Linked DNA regions of Coturnix japonica. The protein of the gene in region 5 purifies or fractionates together with the protein of the main gene of each other region. This does not show direct contact. Links are inferred from orthologs where the notes say so. Each region holds a gene or a part of one and is shown on either strand. Other genes may lie near its edges.

What was found. Proteins that work in one complex are often made in the same cells at the same time.
Region 1: the proteins of CCNF (region 5) and RBX1 purify together in Homo sapiens (affinity purification with western blotting, with the first as the bait; 4 studies listed by BioGRID). This does not show direct contact. The link is inferred for Coturnix japonica from reciprocal best matches to the Homo sapiens genes CCNF and RBX1.
Region 2: the proteins of CCNF (region 5) and NUSAP1 purify together in Homo sapiens (affinity purification with mass spectrometry; 3 studies listed by BioGRID, with this or other methods). This does not show direct contact. The link is inferred for Coturnix japonica from reciprocal best matches to the Homo sapiens genes CCNF and NUSAP1.
Region 3: the proteins of CCNF (region 5) and CDC6 purify together in Homo sapiens (affinity purification with western blotting; 4 studies listed by BioGRID and IntAct, with this or other methods). This does not show direct contact. The link is inferred for Coturnix japonica from reciprocal best matches to the Homo sapiens genes CCNF and CDC6.
Region 4: the proteins of CCNF (region 5) and TARDBP purify together in Homo sapiens (affinity purification with western blotting; 3 studies listed by BioGRID, with this or other methods). This does not show direct contact. The link is inferred for Coturnix japonica from reciprocal best matches to the Homo sapiens genes CCNF and TARDBP.

Annotation. Positions count from the first base shown.
Region 1 is NC_029516.1:45,482,135-45,486,818, forward strand, and holds the start of RBX1 (E3 ubiquitin-protein ligase RBX1), read right to left. Parts: upstream 3,264-4,684; 5' UTR 3,249-3,263; coding exon 3,120-3,248; intron 2,319-3,119; coding exon 2,240-2,318; intron 1-2,239. UniProt on the Homo sapiens protein: E3 ubiquitin ligase component of multiple cullin-RING-based E3 ubiquitin-protein ligase (CRLs) complexes which mediate the ubiquitination and subsequent proteasomal degradation of target proteins, including proteins involved in cell cycle progression, signal transduction, transcription and transcription-coupled nucleotide excision repair.
Region 2 is NC_029520.1:21,983,128-21,987,865, forward strand, and holds the start of NUSAP1 (nucleolar and spindle-associated protein 1), read left to right. Parts: upstream 1-1,475; 5' UTR 1,476-1,577; coding exon 1,578-1,778; intron 1,779-1,912; coding exon 1,913-1,978; intron 1,979-2,843; coding exon 2,844-3,011; intron 3,012-3,835; coding exon 3,836-4,004; intron 4,005-4,738. Other genes in the region: OIP5 (protein Mis18-beta), read right to left, coding at 627-749, 929-995, 1,067-1,340. UniProt on the Homo sapiens protein: Microtubule-associated protein with the capacity to bundle and stabilize microtubules. May associate with chromosomes and promote the organization of mitotic spindle microtubules around them.
Region 3 is NC_029542.1:4,070,806-4,075,643, reverse strand, and holds the start of CDC6 (cell division control protein 6 homolog), read right to left. Parts: upstream 3,264-4,838; 5' UTR 3,147-3,263; intron 2,820-3,146; 5' UTR 2,810-2,819; coding exon 2,632-2,809; intron 2,533-2,631; coding exon 2,317-2,532; intron 2,221-2,316; coding exon 2,021-2,220; intron 1,816-2,020; coding exon 1,646-1,815; intron 1,530-1,645; coding exon 1,423-1,529; intron 1,333-1,422; coding exon 1,092-1,332; intron 867-1,091; coding exon 802-866; intron 699-801; coding exon 493-698; intron 327-492; coding exon 186-326; intron 104-185; coding exon 14-103; 3' UTR 1-13. Other genes in the region: WIPF2 (WAS/WASL-interacting protein family member 2), read right to left, coding at 3,987-4,027, 4,542-4,643, 4,762-4,838. UniProt on the Homo sapiens protein: Involved in the initiation of DNA replication. Also participates in checkpoint controls that ensure DNA replication is completed before mitosis is initiated.
Region 4 is NC_029536.1:3,498,459-3,503,138, forward strand, and holds the start of TARDBP (TAR DNA-binding protein 43), read left to right. Parts: upstream 1-1,417; 5' UTR 1,418-1,683; intron 1,684-1,975; 5' UTR 1,976-1,990; coding exon 1,991-2,228; intron 2,229-2,887; coding exon 2,888-3,051; intron 3,052-3,743; coding exon 3,744-3,884; intron 3,885-4,451; coding exon 4,452-4,622; intron 4,623-4,680. UniProt on the Homo sapiens protein: RNA-binding protein that is involved in various steps of RNA biogenesis and processing.
Region 5 is NC_029529.1:12,341,611-12,345,537, reverse strand, and holds the start of CCNF (cyclin-F), read right to left. Parts: upstream 2,801-3,927; 5' UTR 2,622-2,800; coding exon 2,609-2,621; intron 1,364-2,608; coding exon 1,209-1,363; intron 951-1,208; coding exon 844-950; intron 9-843; coding exon 1-8. UniProt on the Homo sapiens protein: Substrate recognition component of a SCF (SKP1-CUL1-F-box protein) E3 ubiquitin-protein ligase complex which mediates the ubiquitination and subsequent proteasomal degradation of target proteins.

The sequences.
Region 1 (4,684 bases), on a different chromosome or scaffold from region 5:
CACATGACTCCTTCTACTTATAACCCCTTCATATGATGCTGAGTATCTGAGTATCACTCTCAAAATATTTGTGCACAGCTATCATTGTCCACTCCTAGTTATGACTTAGCAAACTATATATACATGCCTTAGCAAACCTCATATATTTAGTTCTGCTCTTCCCAAAAAGCCAAAATAAACCAACCTGCAAATCACTGTGAGATTTTTTTCTTTGGATTCTAATCAATTTGTCCATCTCTGTGACACCAGAATATCACATTGATACTTTCCATCTTCTATCAGAGAGAGTCCACTATTTTGATGCCACATTTCACACAGTTCAAAGCACACCAGTCACCTTGCAGTACTACATTCCACTTAGAGGACAACCCACTATATGATCATGGTGTTTCTCAACATTCCCCAAACTTGCCCCATTGCAACCATTGCAGCAGGGAATAAACCTTGAAAGAAATCAAGGATGTTGCACAAAGAAAATCTAAATACATTCTGGGCCCTTTCAGAAATGAACAAAAACCACTGAAAATCTACTCATCCCTTCTATGTGCCGAACATGAGCCATAGTGAGGGCCAGGGGAATCCTTTGTCCTTAGTATTAGCAGCCAAGTCGTAATGTATGTGCATTAGCAAGACTGCACGAAACCTTAACATTGTTATATCCTAACTTTTGGATGCTCGACTTCATAATGTTAACAATCTTCCATTAGCGTGGCTGGTGTTACTTATCACCATTGTAATGTTTTCCCTTTTAAGGTTTCTCCTCATCAGTGGGAGAGGGAGACATTCCTGCCCTGCACTTTATCAAACTGAATCTTGTGTTGTTCTTCCCTGCACAATCTAGTAATTTTTTCTCTATTTCCCATCACTTCACATCTTCGGTTTGAAAATCTAATTAAGATGTTGCTTAACATCATTAATGATCGTTAACAAGGAAGTAAGTAAATCCAGAGCCAAGGCTGAACTCAGAACACCAATTTAGATACCGCTTCTACTCTGTATACTGTCAATTTTGGTCCATCATTTGCAGTTTGGGCTTTTGATAGCATTGATTATGCCCTAACTAATAAGGTGTTATGCTTGAGCAACTCAAAAAGCAAAACAAAACAAAAACTAAGTTACCTGTGCTCTCTTCCTTTGAAGTTCTTCCTAACACGTCTATATTCTTTCAATTCCACCCAACCTCAATTCTTAACTGTAAAGCACTATGTCAGAGGTCCTCAGCACATGTCACAACCACTCCTCTCACCTGCTTGCCTTTAGTGCTACCATTCCTCTTCTAATGATCAAGAATAAAGTGAGCGATGGACAGGCAGCAGCTGGCTCAAAATAGAACACATCTGACTCAAAGCAAAGAAGTCAGCTTGCTTAATCCCCTTTCAGCCCTGCATGGTACACTGCACAGCCTCTTTTTCTTTTCCCCTGCTCTTTTATATTATCACATTGGCTCACTAACAGTAAGTTACCATCAGCTGTACTTGCAAGGGCTACTAAGAAGAAAGTGAAACAAAGCGACCACAAAGAAATCATGACTAGCCCTTGTCAGGTACTGAAGGTCTTGCTTTTTGAGGTACCACAATCCTCCCATTTTAGTAGTACAGGTGACTTCCTATCTGGGGGATGTTAAAAGGTGTTCTGTATCTTATCATTGAAAGAACATGGACAGTTACGGTGCCAACCATATATTGCCAAAGATTTGAGGGGAAAAAAAAATGGCTCTGTTCTTATTGCCAATCCTCAATTAGACCAAAGCCGGTGACTTTATATATGGATACCTATTTCACAGTAGAATTTTTTATACTTACTCCTACTACCACTTTGTTTTCCTAAATAGTAAGTGTATTTGTTAACAGGACTGTTGGGACCATACAGGGGGGAAAAAAAAGGTGAATTAGTACTAGCAATGCTTGGTGTTGGTTTAGGCATTAGATTATTCTCTTCATAGATAACAAACGGATTCTCTAGCTGGCCACAGAATTCCCCACACTATAACCCTAATTTAGGCAAAGTAGCTTTGGCAGAATGAGGAGTCAAAAATTCAGTGGCCTGAATCTTTTCTGGTCAGTCAGACACAGAAAGCAGAACTTGAGCACTACATAGAACAGAGTTTATAGTGTTACCGAAAGACTTCATTCTGAACTGAAAACCAGATTTGCTGAAATGCACCCTGAGCAGTGGAAATTTCAACTGTGAATCTTGTACATGTCAAAACTGTAAGCACGCTTCCCCATCATTTACTTACATAGATCCATAATATGGTTTCTGCAGATGGCACAGTTATCAACCACAATGTCCCACGCCCACAGAGCTACTGCATTCCACTAGAGTGAGGGGGGAAAAAAGAGAAACATAAATTTTATTCAACATATAACACATGGAAATCCTCATTATTCCTCAAGATCCTCTTTCTTTCTGAAATGATAAGGTTAGGATATTAAAAGACACACACCTTACAGCACCAGAGTAATTCTTTCTCAGATACCTCTCACACTCAGTGCCTCCTTCCAGTCTCAGAAACAATTGATACTAGTCCCACTCTCTTTTTTTTGCCATACAAATGCAAACATCTGCATTTCAATTCATAATCTGGAGGCAAGAATGCATCTCACGCCACATCCTCAGTTTGGAACTTCTCTTGTTTGTAGCTGTTTTCCCAGTAATCATCCCTCAGAGCAGCTGGGGCCAACAACCAGAATCACCTCTAACTTTGCCCCTCAGCGACTCCTGAATCATTTTCATTGCAAAAAATATACAATATCAAAAGTGCTCCCACAAAGTGCTCCTAACCACCTCCGGGCCTCGTTGAAGTGAACTTGGGATCTTTCACCACCATTCAGCTCGCAGCCACACTGGAGAGGGTAGGTCAAAGAGGGATATTATGGTTGTTAGGCCAAAGAGGGATATTATGGTTGTTTGGGGGAAGCAAAGCAAACCGGGATGACAAGACAGCATTTGTTGGTCACCTACGAGTTGATTTGTGAAGAATACAAAAAGAAGCAGCCACACAAATGCGTGCAAAGCTCCCTTCACATCACGTAGGGCCACTAAGACAACTGAGCCAAAGCAGCCGGGACTGAGGAGGCAACAGCAGCGCACCGACTCGCCCCTAAGCCCGGCATTACCCTCGGCTCTGGGCGGCGGGGCCCAGCCAGAACTAGCCCCGCCTCGCCTCTCTCCCTCCTCCTCCCCGCGTGGTCGCGCCCTCTGATTGGCCAACCTCCGTTCCACGCGCGGAGACCCGTCTCACCCATTGGCCCCGACACACGCCAATAGACTCCGCAAGCACCGCCCCCCCCTCCCCTCATACGGCGGTGCCGGTGCGGAAGCAACGCCCGGCTCCGTGAGGGGGCGCGGAAAGCGGCTCAGCGCCCCGACCCGCTCGCGGCCACCTGGCCGCTCCCGACCTCCCTCCTCCCGCTGGGACCGGCCGGGTAGAGCGCGCCACGCCAGCAGGTCTCACTTTCTTCACTTCGAAGCGCTTCTTGCCGGCGCCGCTGTTGGTGCCGCTGGGGGTGTCCACATCCATCGCAGCCGCCATTTTGGATGCGTGAATAGGCCGTTCCGCTCTGTGCGCATGCGCGGCGGAAGGGGCCGCAGGGAGGTGTGAGCGGAAGGTGTAGGCGGGGCTTCCGCCAGGGCCTGCCCTTACCCCCCCCCCCCCCCCCCCACACACACCCCTCCGTCCCCGGCAGAGCCTTTTTAAGGGAGGAGGTTGCCTTGCTCTTCAGCCCTTGCTCCCTTCCCAGCCCCTCAGGTGGGCTGAGCTGAGCTGCATATCCTTTGTACCATATCAGCCTCAGTGCTACCCCAGTGGTGTGGGATGTCTCTGGGGCGCTCAGGATGCACTCAGGAATGAAAATGTTCTGAAAGAAAGCAGGAATTCATGTGCTCCGAAACACTTTTTAGAGCAATACTTTATTGTACAGAGGTTATAAAAATGAAGTGCATTTTATAACTCCTTAAAGAACTGTAGGGCTGGCTGGCTGCCCTCCATTGCTGATGCCACTAAAAGTAATTGATTTGGCTAAGTTTGCCTTTGCTGTTGTGAGTGTCCAGACAGACAGCATCACAAATGGTACCTCATTTACCGTCTTTCCACATTGCCACAAAACTTCTCAGAGTTCATGAATATCATGGAACTTCAATACTCTGTAGCATCCCCAGCTGATCTGGAGTGCTCAGAGAAAATTTGAATTCTAAGAACAGAGCCAGAGGGGTAGATTAAGCAATATATCCCATAGTTTTTTGGCCCAGATCATGGTTGGTTTCTGCATGAACCCAATCCCTCTGCCTCTGTGTGTTTTCTAGATGATGGTCACATTATATTCCCATGTAGTGCCATTGTTTTTTCAATCTGTTACTAAAACCTCAGGTGAGAAATGAAGCCTCCCGCTCCCCATAATCTGACTAAGATGAACAGATGAGATTCAGAGAGAGGAACGAGTTGCAGCATTTCATGGGATGGTGACTAATTGCTGCTCTTTCTTTCTCATGGTATTGCACCTCAAGCTGCTTGATAACTTGAAGATAAAATAACAACCAACCGTCATGACTCAAAACCAACATGCAGGTTACCAGGTGCTTGCAAAAACCATGGTACTTAATGACTGTGCCCAACCTACTGCAAACAGCCTTTCCTCATGCATGAAAAAGAGCAACGGGAAGCATGGTTCTAGGCTCAACAAAT
Region 2 (4,738 bases), on a different chromosome or scaffold from region 5:
AGTTGCACTCATTTAGACAGACTATTTAAGCTGATTTTAAAGCAGATAAAACTATTCCCTAAAGTTCTCCATAGAATAACATGTTTACTTCCAAATCATGAAGTCCTCTTGGTATCTGCTATTGAGGCACTGGCACAGGTTGCTCAGAGCTGAGGTGGATGTTCTGTCCCTGGAGACACTCCAGGTCAGGCTGGACCAGGCTCTGAGCACCCTGCTCTGGCTGTAGGTGTCCCTGTTAGGAGCAGGGGAGTTGGACTAGATGATGAGATGGCCTGTAAAGGCCCCTTCCAACTCAAACTATTCTGTGATTCTATAATCAGATCCATCTATCGCAGACTTGTTTTGATAGCTCACGTTAGTTAAGTGGACCTGGAACTGAAGGAGTCTCAGCACCGCAAATAGCTCAATTAAAACTTTGATGTAAGATAAGGAGACTCAAAAAGTACAAGGTAGATCAGATGGAATTATGACAACATAAAACAAGAACAGAACATTAACATCCCACAGTGATGCTCTGAGTCAGAAATAAAGCAGCTTTTGTTAGGTATGTTGGCTGTATTCAGCTGGAATAACTTGCAGCTTGCCATGAAGTCCCTGACCATCAGAAGCCAGGGCAGGGCACCTACCAGAAGATGCTGTCCTTGAAGAAACAGAAGAAGCCTCGGAGATAGGCCAGCTCTCTGAAGGCAGAATAAAGAACAATGCCCACAGCCGAGCCACACGACCGACAGGACAGTGTGTTGTACGTACTGAAAGGAAACACAAAACAATTATATTATTAAAAAAAAAGCTTCTGAAAGCACGGATACTGCTGCTCACTTGTCAGAGGGCACTGCATCGCTGCCTCTGTCAGGGCAGTAAAACACGTAAGACTGCAGTGCACTGTATAAGGGCATTCAACGTGCTGTATAAGGCTGTTGCTACGCACCATCCCGTCAGGGCTCCATCCAGTCCGACCAAGAGCGTCTCCTCGCACAGCACGTTGCCGGTGACTCCTGCGGACAGAGGATTAGCTCGTGTAGCAGCAGCGCGTGGCCCCATCCCCGCCCCGTCCCGCAGCACTGACTGAGGCACACGAGGAGCCCGAGGCGCTGCTCCTCCATGGCGCACAGATGCAGCGAGTCGCTCAGCACGGCCCAGCACCCGCGGCACTGGAACACGGCGGAATCCTCCGGCCGCAGCTCGCAACACCGCGGCGCCTCCGGAGCCGGAGCAGGTGGAGCCGGGGGAGGCTCAGGGGGGAGCGGCCGCTCCACCACGATCGTGCCGCGGATCTGCGGCTCCTCCAAGAACCGCTGCGGCTCCTCGAAGAAGCGCTGCAGGTGCCGCCTCACCGCCATCTCCGCCGCTGGAGCGCGTCTCCCGCCTCCTCCACCTCGCCATGAGGGCGCTGCTATTGGGCAGTAAAGCCGTCAATCCTCGCCTCGTTCTGCCGCCCAATCAAGAAGGAGAGGGCGAGAATTACGGCCCCGAGTTTCCGGGGCCAATCGCGCTTGAAAAACACAGCGCTGGGGGCTACGGCGGCCAGTGGGCGATCACAGTGCGGTTAATCCCGCCTCCCTCACCCGGCCAAACCAATGGCAGGACGCGGCGGGCCAGTTCGAACGGCGGGGGCGGGAGCGAGGAGCTGCGCGTCGGTTAAGCGCGAGATTCGAAGAGCGGCGGTTGGCGGAGCAGCGATGATGGCGCTGCCCTCACAGCTCCAGGCCTTGGACGCGCTCAAGTACGTGGAGCTGCAGCAGGTCGCCAAGGCTGCCGGCCTGAAGGCCAACCTCAGGGTGAGCGGGGGAACGAGGGGCTCACAAACGTCTGTGCGGGCTGGGGCTGGGTTTGGGATTGGGCAGCGTCCTGTTTGTTTGATGGCTCCGTGCAGCGTTTAGTTCATGTGCTGCTTTGCTTTCTTTCTCTGCAGGCAGATAAACTGCTGAAAGCGCTGAAGCAGCACTTCCAAGGAAGAGTGCAAGGAAATGAAAATACGGTAATAAATAATAAGGCAGCCCTTCTTTTTCAGAAAGAACACTTTGTTAAACTTTGTTACTTTGTTGTGCTCTACCGTTTACAAATATTGGTTTTTTAGCACGATGTTAATTGTAATAAAAGCACTTTTTTATAGTGCTTTTAGTTTAATGTGCTCACACGTTGATAGATATGTGAACGTTTGATACGCCCTCTTAAGCAACAGAAGGCATTAATTCTGCCTTAAATGTATCTGTTAGTATCAGTACAAAACTATTCCCTGTAAACACTAAGGTTTAAGTTCTGTACTAACTAAACCCCAAGTATTTTACATCTGCAATTCAGTTAAACTGGCATTATAACAAAAGCAAAAGAGAAAGCAGCAGAGAGACCTCATTGGAGCTTTACAGTATTCAAAGGGAGCTTATAAACATGAAGGAAATCAGCTTTTTACGTGGGTACATAGTGACAAGACAAGGAGGGAATGGTTGTGAACTAAAGGAAGGGAGATTTAGATTAGATGTTGGGGAAGATTTTTAACTGACAGTGATGAAGTGATGGAACGAGCTGCCCAGAGGGGGATGTGCCCAGTTGCCTGCAGGATACTGTGACCTTGGAGGTTTCAAGGCCAGGCTGGATGAGGCCCTGGGCCCATCCCCATATTTGCTGAATATAAGGTCTACAATTATTTTATTATGTAGCTTTTCCATGAAAATGGAGTGAAGGTGTTTCAGGAAATCTAGATACTGCTAGTTACTCTACTACTTAAGCATACTCTTGCATTCACCTGTGTGAAGTGCCTTCTCCACCACTAGTGTTGAAGCTGCCCCTTCGGAGTACTTATCTCTTGTGTGTCTATTACATGTTATGGTGCTTTTCTGATACAGAGTTCTGAAAAAAGTGCATCTCCTTCAATGGACTCTGAATTTATACCTAATCCAGCATGTTTCGTCACAAAAAGATGTAAAGAAAAGAAAGCAACCAGGAAAAAGAAGAGCTCTGATATGGAAATTAATGACAGTGAAGAAAACACAGGGTCTTCTGCTGAGATGGAGGTAATTTGTGTTGCTTTCTTTTGTGTGTCTGTGTCTTCCAATGAAACTGGAGTTTTAAAAACAAAAAGGCTTGATTAATTGTGCTACCAGATTAGCAGGTAAGGGTTTCATTTTTGTATGCAGGTGTACAGAAAACAAGTACTTTCTACCACAGGTCTTGTCTAATTGGACTGCACGCTACTCCATAATGAACAGGAATGACTTGTGTGATTAGTCTAAAAATAGAAATCCTCCTGAGGAAATGCATGGTTACCTACGCTGGGTGTAGGACTGATTTCACTAGTTCATCGTAGTATCTGAATATTAAGCAGCTTCGGGATTTGGATGAGTGAGAGGGTGAAGTCAAACCTGTGCAGAAAACTTCATGGTAGAGGGAGTTAGAGGGAAAAGATGAGATGAGAGGCATTGGTCTTCACAGCATGAGTAAATGAAAGCCAGTGGTAACTAAAGCTGTAATAGTCAAAAGCAATGTAGAAATTGAGTAATTTTTTTCTTGAATATAGTTTTGTTAATAAAAGGAACGTTATGCTGAAATGTTTCAATCATGCAGATTAGAGCCTTAATACTGATAATTATAAACATTTCCTAGGTTAAATTCAGTTGCATTTCAGAAAGTCTCTTGCTCAATCTCCCCCTGAAAGCAGGGCATGCTATGAGGTGAAATCATACTGCTTGGGGCTTTACATAAGCTGTTTTTTTTTATAACTTTTTTTTATACACCACCTCTCTAGACACCCATTTCACTGACTAGCTGCTCTCAGAACGAGATCCTTTCCTTATACCCGGTTGGAACAAATTGTTTAATGAAGTATGCTTAACTGCAGGGGCATTCCGAAACAAAAGAGAATGAGGTGCCTCAAGTTGACTGTGAAAAGGGAAAGATGGTATTCCAAAATGTGGAACAAGTTACTAAAAAAATTGCTAATGAGAATCCAAGAGTGGTGGCTGCTGAGAAGACAAAGAAGACTTCTACTAAAAGCACTAGAGCAGAATGTAAGTAAAAACTTCCTTAAAAATAAGCTTTGTAGTACTTCAAATTTGCAGACAAAAAATAACCTAAAAAGTAAATGTCTTAGTGCCATGTTTAGTGATCTTTACCTTTCTGAAAATGCCAGGAAATGACCCGGAGAGGCAGCGTGAAGGTTGGGGGGGGGGGGGGGGTTAGAGGGGCTTGTTTAGGATCAGTGCCTTCTGGAATATGCCTTGTTATTCTTTCTTTGGATGAGTGGGCTTTGTCATTGCCTTCTTGGGGGTAGAGCCAGAGCTAGTATAAAACGATATGCAGACAATGCCCTTGTTAGTTTGTTAACACACAAATATTGTTAGGCAGTATAATGGTGGATTGCTTTTATGTCTGATTTTCTTGATCTTAGAGCATGATGCTACTGAAAATATGGTCTCGCTTCTCCTCTAGTCCTTTGTGCGAGCAGCTGACCTAGAGAGGAATTAAGTTTATCTTTCCTATCTTGATTAATAGATTCGCAACAAATCACTGGACACAGCCCATTATTTGCCTCCTGTTAGGTTAAATGTAACAGTCCCTGTGATGTACCATGGGTATCTTTGCTGTTTGATAGAATTTAAGGGGCATTCTTATCAGAGGTCATATGTAACTTCAAAGCTAATTAAGGAAATGAAAGTTTTCTATGAAGCTTCTGTTAAAAGTAAATAAAATATGTTAAAAAAAATGCTTTAGCTGAGGCAGTACTAAAATTACCTTCCCACTG
Region 3 (4,838 bases), on a different chromosome or scaffold from region 5:
GGCTGGATGGGGCTTAGAGCAGCCCCCGAGCCAGGATGCTGCCCACCAGCGTGGCGTCCTGCAGCGCGTGCTGCGCCTCCTCCTCCTCCACCTTCAGGGACACCTGGAGGGGGACACAGCGCTCAGCTCCATGGGGTCGGCACACCGGGGCTGCCCCATAACTGCCCCCAGGGCTGCCCCCATACCTTGGTGAGGCGAGTGTCCTTGGCGCGCTTCAGCTCCAGCACCCCACGGGACTCCAGCAGGGTGACCAGGGACAGACACTCAGCCTGGTCCACTGCAGGGAGCTGCTGCCGCCGGCACACGCGGCTGTAAGCGTCGTGGAGCTGGGAGGGCAGCGAGTGTTAATGCAGCCAGGGGAGAATGGGGACAGCGGGGAGCCCAGGGACATCAAGGGGACAACAGTGAACCCTGAAACGCTGGGGAGCTCAGGGATGATGGAGGCTGTGGGGGAACCCAAGGGACACTGGGGAGGCCACGGCCACCACTCACCTTGCCCAGGGTGACCTGGCGTGTGCGCAGGTGCCGGGTGAGCAGCAGCAGGGAACACACCAGGACCTTCTGCTGCAGTGGGAATGCGTCGCCAGCCCCAGGGCTGCACGGTGCCATCCTGTCCCCAAACACCTCCGAGAGGACGCGGGACACCTGCGGGAGCCCCACTCTCTTGGGGACGGGGCACGGCGCCGCTGTGGGGTCACCTGCAGAGGGGGGAAGGGCTTCAGGCACCGCGAGATGGGCAGAGGCACAGAGACCCCAGATGGGACCAAGGGGTCGGTGCCCCCTCAGGGGTCGGTCACTCACCCCCAGGCAGTGGTTGAAGCAGCGTTTGGCTCCGCACGTCCAGCTCCACCAGCTCCACAGCGCGCCTGAGGACACAGCCCCGTCAGCACCCAAAGGTGGGATCGGACCCCCCAGGCCACAACACAACACCATGCTGTCCCAGCACATCACACTGCTGCATGCCCCCCACACCCCCATGCTCAGAGCTGGGAGAAGCTCCATAGCAGGAAGTGCTGGGGAGCAGCAATGGGGCTGTGCAGCACGGCTGGGCCTGGCCCTGCATCACCAAACACTGCGGGTCAGAAACTCACCTGCAGACATCGAGTGCTTTACGTGCATCACCGGACACAGCAGAGACCTTCCGTGCACAGAACTGCAGGGCGCTGGGCTCGAGGACGGGGCCACCCTGCAGCTGCTGGAGGCGGCCGTGCAGGATGGCACCCAGCTGCTCTCGGCTGTATGGGGCGAAGCGCAGCAGGTGTGGGGCGGGCAGTGGGGGGGCGTGCAGACGGGCCAGCAGGCGCTCGGTGAGGTCCAGTGCGTTGGCCAACCCTACAGAGCACAGTGGGGTGAGGAGGGCAGGGGGATCCAGTGTGGGGGCCGTGGGGCCCTGATGTACAGGGGGTGGGAGTGTGTGCTCACCAATGAGGACCAGGCGGGAGCCGGGCAGCCGTGGCCACTCGAAGATGGTGTAGAGCACGTCCTGTGCCCTGCTGCCCAGCTGGTCCATCTCATCCAGCACCAGCAGCCTGTGGGACACACAGTCAGCACACAGTCAGCCCACAGCCCCACTGGGGACACAGGGACACCCGCCCCAGCCGTGCCCCCTCTGTCCCCTTCCACCCCACCCCATAGGGTGACTCACAACATGGGTCCTTTGGCCGTCAGTTGCCGCTCCAGTCGCCGTACCAGCTCCCTGCCGCCTGCCCCGGCCGTGGGCAGCCCCAGCTGCTCCGCCACCGCAGGGAACACGGCGTGTGCACTGCTCAGTGCCATGCAGTTCAGCACCGCGCTGCGGCTGCCCGACAGCTCGTCCTGCAGGGACGGGGCAGAGTCACATCGGGGTGTCTGCATCCCACTGCCCACCATATATAGTCCCATAGAAGCACCCCATGTGCTCACTCTGAGCTTCATGCACTGCAAAGCCCATGAGCGCAGTGAGGAGCAGATGGGATCCCAGGGCTGGGGCTGAGGCTGGAGGTGCCAGACGCCGTCCCCACGTTCTGGGTCTGTCACTCACCCCTCCGTCCCGCAGCACGCAGCTCACACAGGCTGTTTTCCCGGTGCCGGGTGCTCCTGCGATGTACAGGCTGCCGGGGCGCCGTGCAGCCAGGTGGTCCCGCAGGAACTGCCGGATGGTGCCCACCTCCCGCTCACGGCCATGCAGGCGCTCGGGCACCGCCACGTGCAGCACCCGCTTGGCCTGTTGGTAACATGTTCCTATGGCAAAGGGGGAGAAACCAGGGGGTGAGGGTGGGCAACGGGCCGGGGCTGCTCACAGTTCTATGGACGGGCCGTGCCACCATCCACACGCACCTTCCTGCCTGAAGAGGCTGCGGGTCGGCCCTGAGCTGCGTCTCGAGCCCTGCGGTGTCTCCTGCCTGTGCTGTGGGTTGGCCGGTCCCGGGCTGTTCTGCTTTGCTGGGGAGGCCGCGGGGTCCCCGAACAGCGCCCTGCAGCCGCGGTTCTCCTTGCAGCGCTTGGCCGGGGAGCACGGCGTGACGTGGGGCACGTTGCACAGGTTGTCATCGCCTGCAGGAGCCGCGTGTGAGCGGGGACAACGCAGCCCCACGTCACGTCACGGCGCTCAGTGTCGGGGCCGCCCCCACCCGGGGGGGCAGCGCTTCTTACCCAGGCGTTTGCGGGGGCTGAGGGGCAGCGCTGAGCCCCGCGGGGACGGCGGCGACAGGCGGAGAACGGCGGGGTCTGTGGGGCCGGGGGCGGCCGGGGGGATCTTGGCGGCACAGCGGGCGCTTCTCCGCCGGGGGAACGCGATGGTGGGTTGGAGCTGCGGGCGGGCGGCGGACATGGCTGCGGCCTGCGGGGATCGGGGCGGTCACGGCGGAACCACCCGAGCTGCCCCCGCCCCACAACCAGCCCCACGCAGCCCCCAACCCACAGCGGCCCCACGCAGCCCCCCTCAGCCCCCAGCCCCGCTCCACGGAGCGCAGCCCCACAGCGAGACCCGAAACTGCTGCCCTTATCCACAGCCCGCCCCACAAGTCAGACCCCCATGTCCTCACAGCACCATCCCACACGAGCCCCCCTGCCCTGCCGCAGCCCCACAGCCGTGCCCCATCCCATCCCATCCCCATCCCATTCCGATCCGATCCCATCCCATCCCATTCCCCCCGCTCCCCACTCACCCTCTCGCGCCAATTCACCCCTCAGCTCCGCACTTCCCGCCACCAGCCCGGCCAGGCCCCGCCCCCTTCACTCCATTGGCCGCTTCTCACGGCGCCGGCGCCAACCGCGAGATCTCGCGCCAAACCTCCGGCGGGGCGGGGCATAGAGCGGCCAATGGGCGGCAGCGCGCGGGGCACGCCGGGAGGCGCGGGCGAAGGCGCGCTGCACACCGGGAGATGTAGTCCAGAGCGCGGGAAGCCCCGCCCCCCCCATATCTCCCCCCCATCCCGGCCATGTCGCTCCGTTATCTCCGTTATCTCCGTTATCTCCTTTATTAACTCAGTTCCAATATCCCGGTTCCGTGTCCCATCCCCCCATGTCTGAGCGCAGCGCTCAGGGCGCCCTTTAGTGCCCCCCCACCCCGGGGGGATCCCACGTGATACCGAACAGCCCCACACGGTTCGGTTCCGGTTCCGGTTCGGTTCCGTCCCCGCCGCAGCTTCACAACGTCCCGAATGGACCCGAACCGTCCAACGAGCCCCGCACGGTCAGAGCCCGCAGCCCCCACGCAGCCCACACACCCCCCGTGTCCCGGTGTCACAGCTCCCCCCGTGGGTCCCACCCCACGGTCCCACCCCACGGGACCCCCCGGCTCAGCCCGTGTCCGTGTCCATCCCGGGCTCCAACCTGGGGCTGCGGGGCCGGGAGCCGCGTGGGATGGAGCCGATGGGGGTCGGTGCGTCCCGTGTCCCGGGGGCGCTGAAGGTGCCGGGATTCTCATGCAGGTTCATGGGGTGGGTCCGGCTGGAGGCGGGAGCAGCTCCGGGCTGCGCTCAGCACCGAGCGGCACCGGCTCGGCCTCACCTGGGGATGGGGGGCAGCGGGGGGGCCCCGCGCGTGGCTGCAAGGAGAGAACGAGGTGAGAAACCAGGGCTGCACAACCAGCATCAAACCCCCCCTTCGTGCCACTCCAGCGCTGTGATGTGAGCAGCAGCCGCTGCAGCACACAGAGCTCGGGGCCTTTCAAATCCACATTAAACATTCATGGCTCTAAAAATAACCCGGCAGCCGCTCTCCCCAGAGTCCCCCCCGGGATCCGCAGGGCTGGCACTGCAGCACGGCAACGCTCCGTGCAGGATGTGCCGCAGCCAGCGTGGAACGATGGGGATGCAGGCAGTGCTGGGGCAATGGGAGGCTCCTAAACCCACCTGCCCCATTGCAGCGCTTCAAAGGGAGGGCCCTGCACAGCCCTCCAGCACCAAACGCCCCCAGCACAGGGGCAGCAAGCTGCCAGCACAGCCAGCATCCACACATGGGGAGCCCAGGGGAAAGGCCACAGCGCTGGGCTGGGAGCAGGACAAGGACCGAGCACTGCAGGGCACGGTGGGGACCATGGGACGCTGTGCCCCTCCTACCTCTGTTTGTTTTGCTGGGGTAGATTCTCTGGAAGTATTTATATTCTTCTGGGGCTGGAAAGTCTTCGACGGGGTGAAATGAGTATTTGGATTCAAAGTCATCTGCAGAGAAACAAAAACCAGGCGGGTCAGGAACAGGCTGCAGATGGGAGTCAAGGCTGAAGTGTCAGCTCTGCCTGGGACCCCCAGGGCTCCCCCCAGCCCCCCCAGCCCCACTCACCCAGGAATGCTCTGACAGTGGCAATGGAGTCCCGGTGCCCGTTCCTCACTGGTGGTGGGGGTGGGGGGGGTCCTGCA
Region 4 (4,680 bases), on a different chromosome or scaffold from region 5:
TGCATTTTCTTTCTTTCCTGTGGGCACACTTAACTCGATATACATGATGGTTAGTACCACGGTACTGCATTTGTCTGCACCCATGGGCACTGTGAATTGCCAGCGTGAGACAACTGGTGTATTAACTAGCTGCTGGCCCGCTGGTGTAGTTACTTCAAGGGCAACACTGTTGTTATCTGCTTAACTTAAATCGAACAGTCATGCAAAATAACAGTAGGAAAATGCTGCAAGAATCCCAGCTTTTACAGAAAAAAGATAGTTACATTTGCTCACTGCCCTCCCCTGGCTCTTACCTGCACAAATCTAGCACAGGGTTGATGTTTACTCTGCTCATTAATAAAACTAGCAGCAGATGCTTTGTCAGATAGAGGTCACTTTGGCTGAATGCCACGGCAACCTCTTCAAATAGCGTTGATTGCTAAACTATAGCTTTGACTTGGAATGGTGCAGTAGGTAATGTTGACATGCTGCAATTACCGCTCAGTCCTCACGGCGTGTTCAGACAACACCGACTACCTCCGTGCTGACTTGGCAACACCAGAACTGGGTTTGGGACGTGTCTTGTGGATGGCTGGAAAATGTAGGAATTTCAAGAGAACGCCTACATGGAGCATTAGCTTATCTCGTCAGCTTGTGTCTTGTCAGCTGCTCTCAGAACTCTGTTGGAAAATGGTAATTAAATGATAAGGCTGAGTCTAAAGCTACCGGGGCACAGATGGGCCAAGTTTCAGTGGTGCCAGAGCCAAGTTTTGCAGTTGTAAGTTTTAAGTGGGAGCTTTAAATACTCAGCAATTCTCTGTGTCGATGCAAGGAACTGGATTGGCCCTACCTAGCAGGAGTCACCTACCTTTACTAACAAGATTGCTTCTTTTTGTTCTTTTTAAGGACAGTGGTACAAGGGGAGTCAATCTGGGTGTGAGCACAGCCTGTGTGTGATCAGAGGCACCAAGAACAGGTGAGATGGGAGCTGTAAGGTGCTGCTTTCCTTACTACAGCACAGCACAGTGCTGTATTGTATTGTATTGTACAATTGTATTGTATTGCTGATTGAGCCACCCTTATCTGGCTGCCCACACACAGCTCAGCACAGACACTGTCCTGCGTGGGGTTCTTACCTTATGGAGCCAGAGCAACAGCAGCAACAACACGAGTGTCCATTAGTTATCATGGCCTGGGACTCAGGAGATCACTATGCAGCATATGGAGGCTTAACTTCCCATTAACTAAATAGAAACTGGGCTTAGGAAGAACTAAACAGCAAGCAGTGTTACAACAGCGAGCATCACCTGCTCTAAACAGCTCCAAACCGCCCCGACCCGACCCGCACCGCCATGACGGACACCGCCACCTGAGGGAGGCGCACAGGGCGGGAACGCCTCACGCCGCTCCCGGCAGCCCCCGCGTGGCTCGGCCCGAACCACGGCCCATTGCGGGGTAACGGCACGCACAGCCCGGCTCCGGTTCTGTCGGCCCGTGCCATTCCGGGACGTCGGGCTGCAGCTCCTGTTCGTCTCGCAGGAGCCGCGCCTCGATCCCGGCTCCCTCCCGCTGCCGGCCGACACGCCCCGATCTTCCCCTCCGCCTCACAGTGGTTCGCCCCGCCGCCCGGCCGCCATTTTGTGCGGCGCGTTGGAGGCGCTGAGGGCTGAGGACGCGGCGCTGCATTCCCGCCCGGTGAGACGGGTAGGAGCGGGGCGGCCGGGGCTGGGAATGAGGGCGGCGGGGATCGGGCTGTGAGCTCTGAGCTCCGAGCTGTGAGCTGTGAGCCCTGAGCTGTCCCGTGGGCTGTTCTGCACTTCCCGGCCCTGTGGGGGCTCTGAGCCCGGTGTTGCCGCTGCGGGGCCTGCGCCGCTCGGGGCGGGGCGAGGCGGGTCGTGCCCTGCCGTTGTGCCGCTCGGTGCCGCTCTGTGCCCCGCTGGGCCCGAGGCGCGTTGTTGGGGCTGTTATTGATGCGTGTTTCTCTCTCACGCTTCAGTGACTTGCAGCGAACATGTCGGAGTACATCCGGGTCACGGAGGACGAGAACGATGAGCCCATCGAGATCCCGTCGGAGGATGACGGCACCGTGCTGCTCTCCACCGTCACGGCGCAGTTCCCCGGGGCCTGTGGGCTGCGTTACCGCAACCCGGTATCGCAATGTATGCGGGGCGTGCGGCTGGTGGAGGGCATCCTGCACGCACCTGAGGCCGGCTGGGGAAACCTGGTCTATGTCGTGAACTACCCCAAAGGTTCGTGCTGTGCCTTTGTGTTTCCATATGAGTGCGCTTTGTAGTCCAGAGATCGATGTGTGTGACAGCAATTGACTTGTGTTCATCCTGCAGGTGAAGTTGAGCCCGCTGGGTTTTCAGATGCACTCAGAGCTTCAATTCTTTAGCTGCAGAAGGGCTTAGATGACAGTTTTATGTTGTGCTTGGGAGAGTTGCAGCCTCATTAGAACTTGTAAAGATGCTGGTGCTGTGTGTACTCACAGACACTTCTCTTCAAGCCGTGCTTTGGTCACAGCTACGTGAGACAAATCCAACCAAAAGCACTCCAAAATAATTAGAAATAGCCTTCTCATTAAATATCGTTGTCAAAAACCCATCTTGTTCCCATCCTCAGTAAACATTACTGGGTGGTCCTTGAGTAAACTAACACAAAACTAACTCAGAATGCATTGATAGGAGGACTTGGTCATTTATAGGAGGACTTGGTAGGTCGTTCTTTCTTCACGCTTGCAGACAGTTGGCTGTGGGTTGTAATGATAACCTCCAACAGCTGCCATGTGTTCTTCCGCTGTCTGCACTTCCTCTTAGTGTTGTCTGGTTTTATACCGCGCTGTTCAAGATTAGTGGAAGGGGTTTCTAAAGTTAGGAGGATGATTTCTAACGTACATCGTTATATTCAGATAATAAGAGAAAAATGGATGAAACAGATGCATCTTCAGCCGTGAAGGTAAAACGAGCAGTACAGAAGACTTCGGACTTGATAGTCCTAGGTTTACCTTGGAAAACCACAGAACAAGACTTAAAGGAATACTTCAGTACATTTGGAGAAGTCCTCATGGTGCAGGTAAAATACTTTTTGAGTATGGAAAGATGTTAAGTAGAAATCAGGGTTCTGATGATAGAAAGTAGAAAGGAGCAGATCTGAAGCTGTGTGCCTTAGAGCTTTGTAGTGTGGGTACAGATGGGAATATTTGGGAGTGGTAATCCACGCAGATCTGCCTAATGGGTACAATGTATTAACAGCTCTTTAGTTTATGTTGCTGATTGTCACAGCTGAGTATATGTCTTATTTTTCAGGCTTTAAAACAAAGCTTTACTAAATTAATTCAGGAACAGCATGTTGCATGCTCTAGGTTACCTCTGTCACCACTGCCTGGCTCTGTCCTGCATGCAGCTGTGTGTGCTTGCATTGTTTATATAGCAGGTCTGGCCGTGTCATTACAGTGTTACAAAGTAATTATACCCTGATGCTGATCCTGCTGTTTTAGTAACTAATACTGGGGCTCAAAGCAGTCAGAATGCATTAAATTTGTAGGTGTCAGAAGCTTGTGCTGTGACTGCATAATAGCAGGGTTAGTATCATAGGAAAAGGTAGTTGTATACAAGGGGGGTAATCAGAGATCTGGCTGTATCCTTTCTGGTGATGATATCAAGATTGATACAGAAGATGATAGGTAAATAGCATGCCATTAATGTCACCAACACAAGCACGGTGCTACTGTGTTCTGTTTTAAAGTCCGCTCTTTTTTATCCTAGGTTAAAAAGGATATTAAGACTGGTCACTCAAAGGGTTTCGGTTTTGTTCGTTTTACGGATTATGAAACCCAGGTTAAGGTCATGTCCCAGCGACACATGATAGATGGCAGATGGTGTGACTGTAAACTTCCCAACTCTAAGGTACTTTCATATTTATGACTACCTTTGTTTTGCCTAACATTCACAACTTCACTTCTATAGCCACTGTGCGAAGTGAGCAGATGAACACGTTAATAAAAGCCCTATTCGTGGTTTTGGAGTCTGAGTAAACAGGATAAAGAAAATAGAGGAGGTGGGTGAACAGGAAGTGAATGAGACGTGTTGGGGATATAGCTAGTTATATCTGCACTCAGTTTTCCAATATGAAGTACAAAATAATGTGTTATTAACATCCAGCAGTTTGTTATTTATCATGCCTGCCACATGAAACTATGGAATATCAGAATGAGTCTGTTCTGATCATGCGGATATGCAGTTAAATGTGCAGCACAGTGACGTGTCCTGCACTGGCCTTGTCACTGCCCATAACTGACTACCTTTATTTCCCTGTTCCCATCTGTACCGAGTTGCACACGTGCTCTCTGAACAGAGTTTCAGAAGTCTGAAGCTTACAAATTAAAACTTCCTTATCTTCAGTCTTCTGAACGGTTGGTCTTCATGTTGAAGTTTCCATTCATTAATTATACTTCTCTCTCCACTTCCCTTCAGCAAAGTCCCGACGAGCCTTTGCGGAGCAGAAAAGTGTTTGTTGGGCGCTGCACTGAGGACATGACAGCAGATGAACTCCAGCAGTTCTTTGCTCAGTATGGAGAAGTGGTAGATGTCTTCATTCCTAAACCTTTCCGAGCTTTTGCTTTTGTTACATTTGCAGATGATCAGGTACGTGTAAAGTGTTTTAACCCCGTGTTTAGACAGCCTGTGTTTCAGTAGGTGACCC
Region 5 (3,927 bases):
CAGCAGCCCTGAATGGGAACAGAGAAAATACTTCAGGATTAAATCAATAGGAGCTTCCACATCAGACAAGCTACTTGAGTGAAGGCCTGGCTGTGAGTTTGTTGTCCATCAACCACAAGCACAACTGACTTCACTACAGAAGTTACAAGTGAGTTACGATGAATGAAAATATTGCAGCAAGAAAAGCCACATCTGTGCCCAGGACCATCTGACAGCTCCAGGAATCGTTTCTCAGTCCCATGCAACATCTCCAGTGCAAGAAAGTAGGTTTAGGTACTTGCACACTCAGGGACGTGCCTGACAGATCTATTTTCAGACAATGCCTTTCTTCAAAAAGAAAATACATGCATCAGAGCAGACATGAAAGGAACAAAACAACTAGTATGACATTCATGTGAACCCATCTCCTTCAAATCAGGTGGATAAAAAGGCACTTTCCTTCTGCACATGCTTTAATATATTCAATTTCACTTATTTTTCAGTACATCGGTTTGAGCAAAACAACCAAGACTTAGAACTGTGGTCTTTCATCTCACTTGCTTGTTTATATGGAAGCACCAGTAACAGGATTTCAGTTCATGTGTTACATTCAAACAAGTAACAGTAATGCCCTTAGAGGAATAACTTCCACGTATGCCGTAGGCCCTGCTCCAATTAACACAGCAGCAGCTATTATTCACAGCTTAGACACAAAGCCAGCTACCCTCATCACTCCATACAGAGACTTGCACAAATAAGCACAGTCAGATTCACCACTTACAGTGAAGACTGATTAGAATTGTACATGTGGCACGAAACACTCTCCTCTACAACCTCAAAGGGATGCTGATGCTTAAAGCTCACCTTTCAAACACCGTCAGATTTTTTGGAGACGGCCATACGTCTTCAAAGCTTGCACATGCCCAAACACCGGCGTGATGATCCACGAGGTATTTCAGATGGGAATGCACCTACAAGGTATGAAGGGAAGCATCAAGTTATTATTAAAATAAAGGGATCAGCAAAAAAATAGTTGGTGATCTAATTTTAGATAGGCAACTAATTAATCACAGCTCATCATAACTCTCTTCCTAGGACAGCAAATATCTGTACACTGCATGTATTTTCTAGCTCTCCTCACAGCTCCTTGGATGTAGGCATTCCTCTGTGCACTTCTGGCTCCAGGGGCAGAACTAAGGCAGTGCGTGGCAGGAGGGGCCGGCACTCACTGCTCTGAGCAAGAGGATGTCCTCAGTGGGAAGGTCTTTCAGAACATGAAGGAGAACATCCTCAGGCAGACTCAGCAGCGTCAGGACTCGGGGCCGTTTTCTTATCTTTCGCTTGGAAGGGAAAGAGAAGCACCTGGAACAGCGGCAGTGAACCACTGCAGAACAAAAACAACACCACGGTTAGTGACAGAACAGCAAGAGGAAAAAGGCGCATACAGAATGTGTGTTTAATTAAGTAGAGTGCATCTTCAAGCACATCAACCATAGAAACTCAGCTTGCAGCACAGGACACTGGAGGACCAAACCATAAAGAAATGACTCGTTCAGTTCAGCCAATTCAAGGCAGGTGCCCAGAAGGGACGGCGCACCCCCATCACTGAGCACATCGCCCTGACCCCATCGTTTGGCTGCACTGAGCTCAGCTGTCACTGCTGCATTTCCATGTACCTCCCCCAGGCTACAACTTCTTATCAATTGATAACAGTCCTTGAAACGTGACCGGAGGGATTAGGAAGGTAAAGGCCCATTGAGCCACCCGAGTCCAAAGCCCATCGCTGTGGGCGGTGCTGCTGGCAGACCCCTCACAGCCAGTTCCATCATCTCACAGCGCACAGCACGGCCCTGCAGCAACGTTCGGGTTGAGAGCTCAGCCCCAGCACATCCGAGAGACGGGAATGAGCCGAGGGACGAGGGGGGGCCGGGAAGAACAGAGTAACGCGGGCAGGGACAGAACGGCCCGAGGCTCCCATCCGTTGTGCCGGCACAGGGCGATACCCGCCGCGAGCAGCCGGGTCCGCCGGCACCGGGAGCCACAAACACCGAGTCAATATAACCAACAAACAGCAGGAACCCAAACGATGAGCGGAACCGGCACGAAGCGCACGGACACAGCGGGGCGAGAGGCAACGGGCCGCGATGGGCGCCCAGCCACCGTCAGTCACCGTCAGTCACCGCTCCCACAGCACAGCGGGGCGCTCAGGGACGGGCCGGGCGGTTCGCGGGCGGCAAACAGCGCTGAGAGCGATCGGCAGCACGGGGACGGCCCGGGGCGCTTCCTACCGCTCACACAGCGCCCGGCACCGCTCACGGCCCCGCACGGAGCGGCACCGATAGAGCGGCACCGATAGAGCGGCACGGAGCGGCACCGATAGAGCGGCACCGATAGAGCGGCACCGATAGAGCGGCACGGAGCGGCACTGCCGCGTCTCGGGGCGAACCGCCGCCCCGCTGCGGCTCCCCCCGCCCCTCCATGTCCCTCCATGTCCCTCCATGTCCCTCCATGTCCCCGCCGCCCCCCCCCATCCCGCATCACCCCGCTCCTCCCGCACAGCGCTCACAGGAGCCGCGCGGACCGAAGGAACGCAGGCAGGGAGGCAGGAAGGCGCGCGGCCCGCACTCACCGCCCGCCTTCATCCTCGCGGACCGAACGCACCGACCCGGCACCCGAAGCGGCTCCGACCCAACTCAGCGGCCGTGAGGGGCGGCGATACCGCACGGGGCGGCGATTCCCGCACGAGGCCGCGCCCCCCCGGCTCAGCGCGGGGCCGGGAACCAGCGCGAGGCGCGGCCGCCCCCGCCCACACACACGGCGGGACCCGGCGCTGGCTCCGCCCACAGCGCGGGACGGACCCGCAGAGCCACGCCCACAGGGCGCGCGCAGCTCTTTTCAAACACAGCGCGGCTCCTGATTGGTCGGGAGGATGACGGGAGGTGGGACCCACCCCGCCCCGCGCGCCGCCATTGGACGGCGAGGATGCGAATTCGAACTGGGGCGGTTGGCGGGTCTGGAGCGCGGCGGGTACTGCGCATGCGTGAGGAGAGAGCGGCCTGCGGGCTGCCACCGCGCGGCGGGACCGGGCGGACATGGCGGGTGGGAGCGGGAGGGACCGGATACATCCGTGTGAGAACGGGGCTGCAGCGCTGACAGCTCCGTGTGCAACACAGTGTGCACTCAGTGTGTGCTCAATGTGCAACCCAGTGTGCAGCTCAGTGTGCAACACAATGTGCAACTCAGTGTGTAACCCAGTGTGCAACCCAGTGTGCAACTCACTGTGCAACCCAATGTGCAACTCAGTGTGCAGCCCAATGTGCAGCTCAGTGTGCAACACAATGTGCAACCCAATGTGCAGCTCAGTGTGTGCTCAATGTGCAACCCAGTGTGCAGCTCAGTGTGTGCTCAGTGTGCAGCCCAATGTGCAACTCAGTGTGCAACACAATGTGCAACTCAGTGTGCAACACAATGTGCAACCCAATGTGCAGCTCAGTGCAGCTCAGTGTGTAACTCAGTGTGCAACACAATGTGCAACACAATGTGCAACACAATGTGCATCTCAGTGTGCAACTCTGTGTGCAGCTCAGTGTGCAGCTCAGTGTCTGGGCCGGAGGGTTGCAGTGCTGCAGTGCGGACATGCCCGGCAGGACATGGAAAATGACAGAAAAATGAAGGAATATTGATCTTTTTGAACTGGGCAGTGCTGTGAGCTGAAGTGCTGATCACACTGTCAGCTTCTGTTCCTTGTTCTCCCCGTCGCAGCTGTTTCTGTCAACTAAAAATAAGTTGAACTAGAAAACAGAACGTGAATAATGAGCTCCCTGTGGAGAGTTAAATCCCATCAGGAGAAGCTCCTTGACCCACAGCTCCCCAGGTAGATCCTGTTCTTGGCAGCAGAGGTTGCAGACCATGGCGGGGATGAGCTGTATCACAACGCTGCTCTTCCAG